Linked DNA regions of Schizosaccharomyces pombe. The gene in region 3 interacts genetically with the main gene of each other region. Each region holds a gene or a part of one and is shown on either strand. Other genes may lie near its edges.

Region 1 (4,775 bases), on a different chromosome or scaffold from region 3:
TTTGGATTTTGAACATGCGTCGTAGTGATGGCATTGCTGACCCAGTCACCGTTAACCTGAAGTTTGGAACTACTCTTCAGCAAATTGAACAACTGCGAATCAAAATTATTGATTTTTTGAAAGAAGAGAAGCGTGATTATAAACCTGACTTACTAACTGAAGTTACGGATTTACCGGATCTCTATTCCATGTCTTTGTGTGTTGTATTCTTTCATAAATATAACTTTCAAGACGAGGTTTTACGTATGCGTCGAAGAAATATGTTTATGTGTGCATTGATGACTTATATGCAGGAATTGGATATTGTATCTCCTATTTTCAACAGCCCTGGTAAATCAAAGGATTCACCTATGTATGTCAACTTCAACAATGGTTCAATGGAGGGTGTTAAGTTATCTGGTGGTAATGATGGTGGTGGTACTGAAAATCATCGCGACAGCACTGTTGGCGGAGGAATTCTGAAGAACCCAAAAGCATATCCTTACCGCGAACCTACTCCTCCTGGTAGTTCAGATTCCGATACCGCTAGTGTTTCTAAAAAGCGTGTTGACTTTTCCCTTGGAACACGGCATCTGATGCCTGCTTTTGATGATGTTGCTGATATTGGAAGTAAAAGGCTTGGTCGTGATAGTCTTCCCGATGCTGTCATTGAAAACGCTGGCACAGAGGCCATGCGACGCGAAGCTGAGGAACGTCGCCGAGCCGAAGAGGAAGAGTACGAACGTTCTCAACAAGAATCTAGTTCGAATGAAGAAAACGAAAATGCATCGCGTACGTCAGGTGCTCGTTTTAGCTTTTCCTCTAAAGCTAGTCGTTTGTCGGCTAGACCCAGTGCTCGTACAGTTCCTCCGTTGCAGCATATATCAATTCAAGACTTACGTGAGCCAAACGAAAATAATACTTCTAAGTCTGCTCGACTTTAAATACCCATAACACTTTGCAAACTTGCATCGCTCATGCTAGTTTTACTTACTTCATTCGTTGAAAGTGGCTATTTACCATTTTGGGCACTATTTGTTTCTTTTTTTTAGTTTTTATTTATTATTCTATGAAATGTTTAAACGTATATTGTATCTCAACAGCAAATTTTTGTATTAATATTAGCTATGCCTTGTAAAGTTTCGTAAAAGTTATGCAAATGATTTACGAATAATCTTAAACTAAAACTAGTATAATGCTTTTTTCACGTAAACAATGACTCACCGTCGTAAATTTAGACGTTTCAAGTGCGAATGAACGTTAATAATTGTTCAAAGGTTTCGTTTTTATAATAATTATTTCGTTTTCATAATCGTAATTTTTCACGAAAAAGTGTTTGTGTTTTAGAATGCCAACGAAATTCTCGTAGCGAAACTTCGAGTTTGTTTTAAACATTCAGGAAACAAATAATGATTAAAAAACAAAAAAAAAAAAAACGGAAGGTAAATTTCTATAACTAAGCAAAGATAACTGCAACGATGCGTACTGTTATTAGCAATTATTTTTCGTAGGTGAAGAAGGTAAATTGGAAATTTGAATGCGAGTTTCAACGGCCAAATCATCAGCTTGGTTTTGTGCCTCCATGTCCGGACACATTGAAAACTTGTCATCAGCAGGACTGCATGCCCCTAAGGGTATCGATTGAGGCGATTTAAAGTTTTCAATACCAACCAAGTCTAGCATCCAAGAAAAAGCAGCGCCAAAAAAGCCGAATTCGAAAAGATCTAATATACTGTAAAATATGGCTTCTCCAATTGGCGAGATAACATTGAGGCCCTCAGATAAAATCCAACATGCATAATAGAGGAACCAAATGACATGTAAGTAAACAATTGACCATAAAAACCCTAGGCGCGCAGACGTCTCTAAACGGCTAGCATACTTTTTATGCAAAACGACTGAGTGTGCCAATGCAATAAAATAGCCTACAAACGAAAATCCGTAATAGGCCCATTTATAGGGAGATGAAGTTAATGCTGCCGCCAGTAAGCAAACAATCGCAAAAAGCACATAGCAAACGACATATGCAATTTCTAGTATAGATACGCCTACCGTCCAATGTAGCATTACGATGATTAATGGGAAATTGATTAACCATTGAATATAGCGAACATAGTAAACCATTCGTACACTAACTTCTCGAAAAAAAGAAGCAGAAGAAAACACATTTTTCAATCCATAATTGCAGGCCATGGTAAAGTAGGCCAAGCAAGAAACCAAACTGAGGATGGAAAAGAAACGGTGGTAAGTCTGCTTTTGAGGCAAACTGAATATCGATACTAAAGGAAAGACAATTGCGCACAGCAGGAACACTGCAAAAACAGCCCAATAGTAGTTTGAGCTTATCTTTTGCAAAGCGACTTCCGGAAGCTCTTTCAGTACCATTCCGGAGGAAGATAATTTCGCATTCATGATGCGTAAACAGGATAGAGGCTGGATTAAAAGATATAGAAACAACTCTTATATTCTTAAAGGTAGCGATACTAGTTGAGTTGAAAAGTCAAAACTTTGTAATAATGGGTAGCTGAGACACGGTGAAGGTGGCTCTGAGAAAAGTCGATTAAAAAGCCATGTTTGTAAACAAACAAACTTCAACATGTAAACAAACAATGATGTTACTCTTTCCCATTAAAAGGCATTTTAATTGACTCTAATTGAGAAAACGCAAAAGAACATTACAGCCAGCAATGTCAAATTTTTCACTTTTTCTTACTTACCGATGACAGCAAAACAGGTAAAGTCGCACGTTACAGAAGAAGTCCGAAGTTGAGAAACAAAAAGGTATAATAAAAAAATAAAATTCCAACCTGTAGAAAATAGTTTATGTACAAAAATTAAGAATTTCGACATTGTTGGAAGTAAAGGTGGATACATCATATAAACATTACAATCCTTCTCTTTTTCTTAAATACAAATAAGCTCATCAAAATATATACATATGGATAGCAGAGTGGAAAATCTTTGTAACGAATGTGTATGTCAAAACGATTAGAACGAAGAGTTTTTTAAAAATGGAAAACATATGAGTATAGGTAACTATTAAAGAATTCGCCTAGGAAATACTTACATCACGCCCCAAAAAGCTATTAAAAAAATAAAACCGAGTTTTCACAGATGTTTTAAAACACACCTAAAAGGTAGGATTGAAATTAGAAGCGTTTAGGGCTCCAATATCGGATGCTTGTACTCGGATAAGTTGTTTAAAGTGAAGCAAAAGTCTGGGTATAATTTATATACACAAATAGGAATTCAAAAGTTCTAATTCATCAAAAAAGCATTAAGCATACAAATAAAGCATGGCATGAGGAGAAAACTTCAAGAAACATGAGTCATATTGTAAAATAAGAAGTTAAAATATGTTAAATGGTTACTTTAATTCTTGGCAGCAACACCAAAGCGCTCAGCACGCTTCCTAGCTTTTTCTGCCTCTATAGGGTCGTCCAAAATATTACTCTTCCGCTTGGATGGAGCACTTTTAGGAGGCGCATTCTTATTTCTTTGTTTAGAACGTGAGTTGGAACGATTTTGAGGGTTCTTAGATTGATTATGGTTTTTGTTATTACTTGACGCTAAAGGTTGTTGAATGCCAAAACGTGCAGCACGAGCAGCTTTCTTAATTTGTTCATCGTCCACAGGAATGCCAAATCGTTTAGCCCTTTGGATGAGTTTTTCTTGCTCTTTAGCTACATCTGGGCTAGAGACTTCATTAGATACACTTTGTTTGGATTCCTCTGTGGTTTCTTGATGCTCTTCAGCACCAGTGGAAGTTTCAGGAGCTTGTGAAGTCTCTTTCGAAATAATGCTTTCATTTTCCTTTTCAATCTCTACAGCAGCGGCAGGAGCACTGGTCTCTTTACTTTCGGGTTCTGCTGGCTTGTTAACGTCAGTTGAAATAGTATCATTCTCCATGTCTCCCCAATCAATATCATCCTCGGGAGGAGCAAGATCTCCTAGATCTGTAGCGTTGTTATTCGAAGTATTTTCATCGTTACTCTCGGTCGCTGCTGTCAATCGGCTTACCAATTCAGCTTTGTTTCCAGCAGTGGAGAGGCCTTTCTCCGCAAGTTTTTCACGCAGTTCTGCAACTTTAAGACTCTTGTAATCTGACATTATGAATATAGACGTATATGCGCGTCAAAATAACACGTTTATTGAATTCGGGATATACGCAGTTGACAAGGGTGAATATGTACGAACCAGCCAACTTTAGTGAGACATGTTGGATGCGCAAATGAAGCGTAGTGAATTGGAGTGATGATTGTGTCAAACATAGTGGTGCTATTTTGCGTATCGCTATGTAATGTTTACTGTGCTATGGTGAGGAGATGGTTCAAAGAAAATGTCTATAAACGATGTTGGGATATACTTTCTCCCTTTTATATGAAATGTACGAATCAAAATCAGTAATCAGTTAGATTATTTAATATTTATTTTTTACTTTAATTAATCGTAATTTTGAATTGGCATTTTAAACCGATTTCTAGAATACTAAAAGAGCTTGAAGAAAGAGCAAATCATTCATTCGTTCCTTACAAAGTTATTATTATAGTTTACTTGTAGATAGTGAAAAAACTCCATTTATTGAACTGGGTATTTGCTGCTACGTTTGCTTTACCTTACTATATGCTTACAACGATTATGAACTTAACAGGCAATTATTAGTTTAGTATCTTAGCTCAAGAGCAGTTGATAGTATTCAAAAATAAAAACAAAATCACATGTAATTACAGTCATAGTTTAATGTGTTAAAACGGACCATTCATCAAGTATGAACATTTCTTTCTACCATTCCAGGA
Region 2 (5,280 bases), 2.7 Mb from region 3:
TATTGGGGAAACGATCGTGAACATTTTTCAACCCTTCAGGCGAGGCAATTACATTGAGGAAAATGATTTGTTCTTGTTTGCAACCCATGTTGATAAGAATTTCCATAGCACAAATAGCAGAGCCACCAGTGGCTAGCATGGGGTCCAAAAGTAAGACATAGCGTTTAGAAATATCTTCGGGAAGCTTGATGTAGTGTAACACAGGTTTATGAGTTTCCTCATCACGCTGTATCAAAATTTTTCCAATACGAACAGAACGACAGCATTCACGCAATCCTTGTTCCATACTTTCGCCAGCTCTCATAATGCTAACGCCGCAAATACGACCATCAAACATTACACCCTCGTATTCAGCATTTTGAGCAGTCGTTACCTTAGCTGAAGACACTGGCAAGTGGTTGAGGCCCTCTTCAACAATTAAACGAATGATTCTATTGGCATAAAAAATAAATTCAGACTAAATATCATGTTAGCAGGGATAACAGATTCAACAAAGAATACACGAGAAGTTGTCGAATGTACTAACTGATAATGAATGCTTCCTATCATCCACTGATAAACATTTATCTCCCCATTAATAGAGGAAAAAGCTAAAATTTCTTGGACATATTAACACATTCATTTCAATTAGTTCTTAGACCTTGACTCAGTAATCTGTTGTAAACTGAACGCGCATACACGAGGTTTCGTTTTATCACGAATGATGGTAAACAACCCTTTTAATTGATTTGTCTGATTTAGTACGTACACATTTCCATGCTCAGGTACCAGCGACATCTTTTTGACGATGTATGCTTAAATATCTACCTATCAAGTTGTTTACCAAGTAAATGGTAAAAAGTAAAAGCACAATAACACATTTGCTTTTAAGCTATCAATAGCAAAATGAGTTTTATCAACCTTAGTATATTTCGTTAAACATAAATAAAGATTTACAACATCATTTCATAATAACATAATTATGATTAATGCGTTACTTAGCGCAGTAAAAGATTTCTACTCTAGCAGGCTTGGCAAAATTAAATAAGAATATCAATTAACTATTGAACATATTTTAGGGCAAGTTGATGTTTTTAAATGAATTACTGCTTATATTTAAGAATGAGAAAGACAGTACAAATTTTTGAAGCACACATTCATACAATTGGACTCCATGCAGCTTACAATCTTAATTGGATTTCAATGTTTTTTACTTGTAATTCTCAATTCATCCAACTGTATTCACAAGAAACCAAGAAATGAGTTGTATTGTAAGGATTTTTAAATCAAATGCAGTAAGAACACATGAACATATTTTCATATCTCTTTCATTCTAGACATTTTTTGTACATGGAGAATACAATAAGTACAAGGTCGAAGTCAACCACACTCTAGGCACTCGTAATTCTTAGCCTGTCATAGTGAACAGCGATTCTACCAAACCAAAAACAAAGCAATGAAATGGCTATCTTGCCAATGAGCAAGATATCACACCCATATTGATGGTACATCCGAATACCAACAAATAAGCTTAACACTATCGTCCAATTGTCGGTTCATCAGATGGAATCTCGAAATTCGTATGTTCGACGTCTTTAAAAAGGACAAATATATACAAGAGCATGCCTAGATTTGTATACACTAAGCTCGTCCGGTTTTGCCAAATACAGCGTCTTGTTCATTGCAATGTAGTTAATACCTTCTTATCGCTTCAGAGAAATCTCTTAATTGAAACGACTGAGCATCAACGAAAATAAGATCACCATAAATGAACGGAAACTTTCAACATTTAAGCTCTGAAAAGAATCTTCCTTTTGCAAGTTAGGCCAATAGCAAAAAATCATTCCTTTTCTTCCTCATAAGCTGCTTCAGGGGAATAGGCTTCTTGATCATTTATATTATCAACCTCTTTAGCTTGATTTGCAACAGCATCACAAGCATCAATCCAGTCGCTGTATACGTCGATGGGTGCCGAAAGAGCTTGATAATGTTAGTAAATAAGTGTACAAGAAAATTTCATAAAAGAACAAGAAATAAGAAGATAAAGAGACGATATAAAAGAAATTAACCGCAATATTAATCGTAATAATTTACGTGCCGCTATTGAAATAAAACACCTCTTTCATACCTGTAATTAGACATTGATGACTCTGACCACAAATTTTGCAGTGTAGATTTCCAACTCCTGATTGTTTATCACTATCAAAGTGTTAAAAAAAATGAAAGTAGTTAATAAGCATACAGACTACAGCTCACACTTTTTTCGTGGTTGCAAAATAGGCACGTAAACTAGTAAAGTTAGTAAATTTCGTAATTAAACTATAACTCACAGTCGTATCTAATGGGGGTGCCCTTCTTTTGGGTTTCACTTTTGCTTTTGCTTTTCTTTTACCCATTTGCAGAATCTGTTTACGTTTTGCAAACTGCAGATTCGTATTAGCGGGTTCACATTAGCACTCTCATCCTTAGGAAGGGTAATGCGGAAACTCATGTAATTTCGACACTTGGTAAGAGACGGTCTTATTTAATTTTAATGAATTAAATGTTTAAATATGATATTCTTATTGAGTTTACTGATGCACATTTGTTTCTAGAGTTCTTTCTATTCATGATGATACTTTGCTGTATGAAACGCAAACGTAGGCATACCAGTCTTACAAACGAAGCCAGATCCTCCATAAGTAAATCTTGCACTCTTTCTCGCAACGTAGTTGACCTTCTATGGTTATTTTGTAAATGCGATAAAACTCTCATTGACTAACTAGAAATTAACGTAAAACATAATTGACTTCTCAGCATTCACGTGACGCCGATTAATTTGGAATTACTGAAACATCTTAGCATAGGCCTTTTGTTGGCGCTTCTTATAATCTTTTTTCTTTTGACGAATTTCTGCAAGCTTCTTTGAAATTGCAGGATCGTTACCAGCCTTAGCAAGTGCTTTCTCTGATTCTTCAAAATTCTTCAAGAGACCTTGAGCACAACCCAAACGATAGTATGCTTTCTGTTTCTCTAACTCAGTAGAGTTACTGGCCTCAATTACAATGTTGGCGTTTCGAATAGCTTCCTGAGGTTTGTTCTGCTTCAAAGCTACAAGGGCAAGGTTTGCGTATATGCTGTATCGTAAAGCATTATACTCTTTCCAGAAATCAGGGGATTCCTTAGAGTCATCGTTGGGAACAGGGTATTCCATTAGGTAGCGCAAAGCTTTTTGCCATTTGGCAACGGCTGTATCCAAATTTTGCTGAGCAAATTGCTTGTTAGCAATTCCCTTTAAGTCGCTAGCAATTTTGAAAATGGCAGTCTCGGACTTATCACCCTCGTAATCATCAGGAAATTCTTCCAGAGAATCACCAGTAACGTCTGGCTTTGGTGCCTCAATCTGATCCTTTGTGCAAGTTCCACATTCTTCAATAACAACAGGTACAACCGGATCGTCATTTTTGGTCTCCAAATTTTCAATGGTACGAACAGTAGATTTTCCTTGAATTACCTTGCCAAAAACAACATGCTTTCCATCCAAATGAGGGGTGGGAACAGTAGTAATGAAGAACTGAGATCCATTGGTATTAGGGCCGGCATTGGCCATGGAAAGCAAGAAAGGCTTATCATGCTTGAGCTCAAAGTTCTCGTCCTCAAACTTCTCGCCGTAGATGCTTTCTCCACCCGTTCCATTACCACGAGTAAAGTCACCACCTTGAAGCATAAAGTTCTTAATTACTCGATGGAACCTTGAACCTTTGTAGGTTAAACAACGGCCATCCTTCTCAAACCCATTACACAACGAAGCAAAGTTTTTGACAGTTTTGGGAACTACGTTGTCGAAAAGTTCAAAGTAGATTGTTGGTTGAATTTTACCATCAATGCTAATTTTAAAATAGGCGTAAGTACTCATTTCGTGCAAAAAAAAACAATGATCGTTTTTAAGTAATGATATTTCACTGCCAGTCTCCTCAGTGTATTCACACCACAAAGTTGCTTTAAGAAGAAGAATGAATAGCGATTTTACGCAGACGAAATATACAGATCTGTGCAAACTATTTAGTTTTAGTTATTAAAAAGGTGGTGATTTATATTTGCAACCTACTGCGAAGAGATTTTCTACGAAACTTCTAGAAACATACTGTATTAAAAAAATGCTAGCAGAAGAAAATTTGACTTTTTATTAGACCAAAAAATATTTATACTTTTTTCAATTAGATTGCTTCTTCGTTAAAAATTCATAAAATACCTGATTTAAGTTAGCACACACGGACTATAAAGAAATATAAGTGCTGTTGAGTGAAGTCAACAATGTATTTAAATTTTAAAACACAAAATTGTGTTTCCTAATAGTTTTAAAACATATTTCGATGAAGTCTTCAGGCAATGTAATTACTTACCGATTTGTCAATTGAAACATTTCCAACTGACTTCAATCTCTTTTTCCCTTCCTTTTGCTTATTAAGTAGCTTTTGCTTCCTTGTTACATCTCCCCCGTAGCATTTTGCTGTGACATTTTTTCGAAGAGCCGAGATAGACTCCCTGGCGACTACTCGGTTGTCGATGACAGCTTGAAGTATTACTTCATATAGTTGTTTAGGAACTAACGGCTTCAACCGTTGAATCCATTCACGGCCTCGCTGAAGTGCAAGCGAGCGATGCACTATAGAACAAAGAGCATCTACAGATTTTCCACTCATAAAAATTGATAGTCGCACCAAATCAGCAGGAACGTAATCCGATTCTTCATAATCTAAGGTAGCGAAACCACTTGTTGTCCCTTTTAATCGACCAAAGAAATCTTCAACCAGGTGAGCAAGAGGTAATTGATATTTTATCATGCATCGCGATTCGGACATATAAGTGCAGTCCTTTTGGAGTCCTCGACAAGATTCACACAACTTGATAACATCTCCTAGGTACTCGCTCGGTGTTATAATTGTTGCATCGACGGTGGGCTCTAAAAGCTCAGATATACCTTGATGATTTGTTGGAAATAGATTAGGATTCGATATTACTTCTTCCCTTCCATTTTTATATTTTATGCGATACGGTACTGTGGGAGAAGTGATTAATAATTCCTTTCCATATTCATCCTTTAATCTGTCAATAAAGACAGAAAGATGCAACGTTCCAAGAAAACCTAAACGCCATCCCATCCCAAGAGCAGACGAGTTTTCTTTTTGTACATTAATAGCACGATCATTAAGGGCCAATTGTTCGATGTTATCATTTAGTCTCTCGTAATCCGAGCCATCCAAAGGAAAGGCGCCAACATAAACCATTGATTGGGGAATAGAGAAACCAGGTAATGCTTCA
Region 3 (5,160 bases):
GGAAATGATCCTGAAAGTAGAAAGGAGTTGGACAAACATTCAGATTGGCATTTTCGGATCAATAAGAGAATTCGTGAAAGTAGCCTTCATGGGATTAATCGCTGTTGGTTTGTGATGGAGGAAGAATGGGTCAATAGCAAAGAAGAGGAAGATTTAATTACAGAGACTGCTCAGGAAATCGAAGAACAGCGTCAAAAGCAAATGGAATCCGTTAGGTCACAATATGTATTGACACCCTTAGATCCAATTGCTGCGTCCGAGCCTTGTCCAATATGTCAAGAAAAATTCCAAAGTGTTTGGCATGAGGAAGCTGAAGTTTGGGTCTTTATGAATGCAGTCGAAGAGGAAGGCCGTATATTTCATGCGACTTGTTTGCAAGAAGTACGCCCGTCAGAAAACAAACATTCAAACACAAATACTAGTACACAAAATTTAGCGGAAGCAGCTGTTTCGTCTAATATTAAAAATGCTACGGGTGACGCTTCGAAGGACTCTCAACCTGATGTTCAAAATTTGTTACAAGGCATTGATATTCAAAGTATCCTTCAAGCACTTGGTAAACGCAAAGAGAGAGACGATTCAATGGATTCAATGTCTTCTAAAGTTATTAAACAAGAAAGCAAGTGAGTTTTGTTTTAACCTCATTTTTCTCGAGCTTTCGGATTTTAGCAATAAATTTGAATCATGTACATACAAAAAATATTTCTATATAATCAGCTAAAATATGAGTTTTACATACTGCTTATAGTAGTATAGCAAACTAAACAGTTTACCGAAAACTTTTGGGTTCAGAATATTCTATATTTATATCCTACGAACACTAGGCAAAAATATCTAAGTAATTGAAAAAGAAAGGGGCCCTTCAGCTCTAACCTAAAAAAAATACTTACTCAGCCTTCTCAAGAATAGCAACGATCTGCTCCCAAACTTGCTCAGGTTTTTGAGCAGCATCAACAGCAGCCCATTTACCCTTCTTTTTGTAAAACTCAACGACAGGAGTAGTTTGTTCGTGATAAGTGACCAAACGCTTGCGCAAAGCATCGGCGTTATCATCGGAACGTTGGATAAGAGGCTCGCCAGTAACATCGTCTTTCATAGGAACTTTAGGAGGATTAAATTCCAAGTGGTAGCTACGGCCAGATCCGGGATGGACGAGACGACCAGTGATACGTCTGACCAAAAGTTCATCATCAACTTGTAACTCAAGGACAGTATTCAAGTCAAGTTTGAGTTCATCAAGAAGAGCGGTAAGCTTTTCAGCTTGGACGACAGTACGGGGGAAACCGTCCAGGATGAAGCCGTTCTTGCACTCAGGATTGTTGAGGATCTCATCCTTGATCATACCAGTGACAATGTCATCGCTGACAAGACCACCCTGATCCATGATCTTCTTAGCTTCTTTACCGAGCTCAGTTTGACGAGCTACTTGAGAGCGCAACATGTCACCAGTAGCAAGATGGGCGATGCCATATTTCTTCTGAATGTTGGGGGCCTGAGTGCCTTTTCCAGCACCTGGAGGTCCAACTAAAATAAGTCTCATGCCAGCCATATTTGATCAAATTGGGTATCTATGCAAAAAAAAAACGAGATTCCACAACAAAGCGGTATTTGGTAGTAGTCTAAAATCGGACTGAGAAGTAAAAGAAGACCACCTAATTTTTATAATAGCGAACTTTAACAAGTCGTTATATTATTGTTGGTGCTAAACCAAACTCAATAAACAGAGCAGAAGCCTGGGGTAAATAGAACAATAAATTTATATTATTTTTATCTATAACCAAATGCTAATAAAGGTTTTCTACGTAGCTCCAAAAGCACGAAGCAATGCAATTAATGATTTTAAGCATAAATGTAAATTCGTATCACTCTCACAATTAGTCTTAGGCAAAAGTAGTGACAGAGTATAGTAACTAAACTAAAAATAAAACTCTGATCCAAACCACGAACGAGAAGCCGGATTCGGTTTCTTTTTCTGTGTAAAGTTCAAAGTAGGAGTATCGTCATCTTCGTGCCAATCTATTTCAATCGAAGACTGTGATTTGGAAGGTAATTCTAGTAAATCCTTAGCGGTTTTCCATGAATATCTAACTATGTCTCCCTTCCATCCGAAAATTTTATCGACATTTACTTTTAACCACTCGGTAGTTCGAGCGTCAGAAGAATATCCAGAACCCCAGTTCTCAGTTCGAATACTTTCACGAGCGCATTCCAGTTGAATATCTCTAGTAACTTTAGCACAGATAGAAGCTAAACTCACGATGGGAAAAAGGGAATCTGCTTTTTTAGTGACAGTGACTTTCGCTTGAGGAAAATGAGCTTGTAATTTTTCCTGGTATGATATTGGAGGTCCTACTGTATCCACGTAAATCTCTGTAACATTTATTCCTGATTCATAAACTTTTTTTATTAAGTCAATTGTCGTATCATGTGCTTGAAGATTTAAATTATACTTGTTCCGGTACCTCAGCATTCCTGCAGCTAATTCTCTTGCGGAAATAGACATAGTAGACCATCCAACGTTTTTTCCTAGCTCGTTAGATTTGTTGCAAATTAATTTCAGAAGTTCCTCTCGCTTTAAGGAGGCCAAAGTTTTACTGTCAGCAAACCCATAGTTGGTCAAATCGAAATCGACTGGACAGTAAGCGACAGCATATACCATAGGTCCTAAGACAGGGCCTCTACCAGCTTCATCTACTCCTAATCGATATGGCTGACTCTTGGAAATATCATCAGTGACTGTTGAATGATAGTAATTCGATTTTGCGGGATTCGATTTATTAACTGAAGGTGGTAAAAAAGTTATTGAAGAATTTTGGTCTTCTTGTAGCTCATTTTCTGAAGAGTTATTGTCACTGACTAGTTCTTCTGGTTCCCATGCATCGTGATCATCTTTCATGTTGAGATTGCTGCTTTGTATCTTTTAAAGAATTATCAGAGTACTTCTAATATTTGGCTCAAAAACTGAATAAAAAAATAAATAAAGGGGTTGAAGGAATGCGCAAATAGGCCTAACACAGTTTTCTTTCGTTCGTGGTTTTAATTAGCGGTACTACGGTAAAACGATGTAAATAAAAAAAAAAGAAAAGCCAGACAAACAATTCATTACAGTTATAATGCTTTCTTTGATTGAGTAAAAATATTTTAATTGAGAAATGACTAAACTAAATGATTTACTTTTTAGACTTTCATTTTTTTAGAAAATTGTTCATTATCTTAAGCGAGTCATCTCCTAGCAATCGAAGCCTGCATACAAGATTTAACAAAAAAAAAGGAAATCATTAACATGGAACCTTGTAAAACGAATAACAACATCAAAGACCTTCTAAAATATCTTCTGGAGGGAAGTCTCCTACTTCAACTTCAGAAGATCGAAGAAAGGATCCATGTTTATTTTTCGCATTAAAGTATCTCTTTCCGCTGACTGTCCCATCATTTTTCCCAACTGGTTCATCAAATTCGACGCCAACCCACAGATTGTCATTATTAATTTCAGGCACTAGTCCAATATAGCGAATAGTTCCATATCTCTCTCCTGCTGCACAGCACCTAGAATTTAAATTTTTTTGTAAGTCGACTAATTCACGTTTTAAAGATTCTTGTCGAGAAGCTTTACTTGCTTCAAAGTCTGGATTGAATCGTCCAAGCTGATTTCTTTTTTTCCAGGCATAGACAGAATCTGTCCTGTTCTCATACTGTTCACGAGGCATTACATATTTATCAACCTGTGAAAGATCGTCAAAGTCTAGACGCAAATGAGGAGGGCGTGTATCCTCAACGACTATAGTCCCCAGAGGCTGAAGCTTGAATTCCCCTAGGTCTAAATTCTCTTCTTCGCTAGTGAAAACGTGTCCAGGGACTGTACTGGAAGCAGGTTCATACGTAAGTTTTTGGTATTGTTCTGGTGTCCCTACGATAGGAACTAATTTGGTCTTAAGCTGACTAACAGTCCATTGTGGGTTAATCCTTCGTTCAGCATTTGCAGAGGAAGATTTAATAAAGAGAGTTATCTCATTCATGTAGCAAATAATTTTAACTTAAGATATATGATTAATGAAAACGGAAAACACAAGAATATATAAAGTGGTGGAAGACGTAGTAGTTAAATGCTGACGCCGCCTTGGTCAGTCGTTCACAAATCACATCGAACTTGAACAATTACATAGAACCCTCGTTAACCAACTACATTTCGCATATGATCAATTAAATTTTAAGTCGATAATACTGTTGAACATAAGTGCAATCTTTGCTCAGTATAACCTTTTAATCGGTTGTTAATTGTTCTTCATTTATTAAAATGGCTTCTCAAGATCAAAATACAGGGACAACACATGTCGAATTGCAAGGTGGTGAAAATTCTAAAAAGCTTTTCTCCAAGTATGACCTTTGGTCAAAGGCAATGGATGAGAAGAAGCTGTCTTCCTCACTTTTCACAGTAAATGATACCCAAGAATTTCTTGAGCTTTGTGAAGCTTGTCGGCGTGGAGATTTGGAAGTTGTCAAGAGGTATGTGCAATTTAAAAATATTGAATCGATAAACAATTTTAACTGCAATTGCTAAATTCAAAATCCAGTTTGGTCGAAAACTATAACACACCTATTAATCAAGTAGACCAATTTGACTACTCGCCTTTAGTCCTTGCGAGTCTTTGCGGGCATGAACCAGGTATGCTATGAATGTTTTGCTCTCAATTATTATATTTTCTCACGCTTAAGTTGTAAAATTTCTTCTTGAAAATGGTGCTTTATGCGAACGAGATACTTTTCAAGGAGAAAGATGTTTGTATGGTGCCCTTAATGATAATATTCGCCGTATGCTTCTTTCTTATGATATTACTAAAGCCATTGATGAGTCCCAACCTTATGCTAGTCACATAACTTCCTTGTTGTCGAACTCGGCTTTACATTTTACTACTGACATAGTCTTTGCCGGTCAATATGGTAGGGTTTTTGCTCATAAATTCTATTTAGCTGCCAGAAGTTCATATTTTAAATCAAAATTTTCGAAATTGGGACCCAGTGAACATGAAATTGAAGTCAAACATTTTGCTAAAGAGTTTGAATCAATTTTGCGATATCTCTACTTAGACACAAATGCTGTTTTCACCAAACAGTATAACAATGCTCTTCTGAGTATTGGAAAAAAATTCCAGTTAAACGATT

The links.
Region 1: mutations in rnh201 (region 3) and mug73 together harm fitness less than expected from each alone (positive genetic interaction), as found in Schizosaccharomyces pombe (one large-scale study listed by BioGRID).
Region 2: mutations in rnh201 (region 3) and SPOM_SPAC1B3.02C together harm fitness less than expected from each alone (positive genetic interaction), as found in Schizosaccharomyces pombe (one large-scale study listed by BioGRID).

The regions. Positions count from the first base shown.
Region 1 is NC_003421.2:622,137-626,911, forward strand, and holds mug73 (transporter mug73), read right to left. Parts: upstream 2,392-4,775; coding exon 1,471-2,391; 3' UTR 1,380-1,470; downstream 1-1,379. Other genes in the region: msy1 (MS ion channel protein 1), read left to right, coding at 1-923; RNA-binding protein mlo1, read right to left, coding at 3,352-4,089. UniProt on the Schizosaccharomyces pombe protein: Has a role in meiosis.
Region 2 is NC_003424.3:4,927,142-4,932,421, forward strand, and holds SPOM_SPAC1B3.02C (Elf1 family transcription elongation factor), read right to left. Parts: upstream 2,405-5,280; 5' UTR 2,376-2,404; coding exon 2,310-2,375; intron 2,269-2,309; coding exon 2,222-2,268; intron 2,179-2,221; coding exon 2,108-2,178; intron 1,960-2,107; coding exon 1,820-1,959; 3' UTR 1,031-1,819; downstream 1-1,030. Other genes in the region: SPOM_SPAC1B3.01C (uracil phosphoribosyltransferase), read right to left, coding at 1-457, 679-777; cyclophilin family peptidyl-prolyl cis-trans isomerase Wis2, read right to left, coding at 2,804-3,874; GTPase GUF1, read right to left, coding at 4,172-4,210, 4,362-5,280.
Region 3 is NC_003424.3:2,252,324-2,257,483, reverse strand, and holds rnh201 (ribonuclease H2 complex subunit Rnh201), read right to left. Parts: upstream 2,989-5,160; 5' UTR 2,897-2,988; coding exon 1,916-2,896; 3' UTR 1,628-1,915; downstream 1-1,627. Other genes in the region: pcf11 (cleavage and polyadenylation specificity factor), read left to right, coding at 1-627; adenylate kinase Adk1, read right to left, coding at 887-1,549; alp11 (tubulin-specific chaperone cofactor B), read right to left, coding at 3,312-4,016; ubiquitin ligase Btb3, read left to right, coding at 4,295-4,503, 4,572-4,663, 4,714-5,160. UniProt on the Schizosaccharomyces pombe protein: Endonuclease that specifically degrades the RNA of RNA-DNA hybrids. Participates in DNA replication.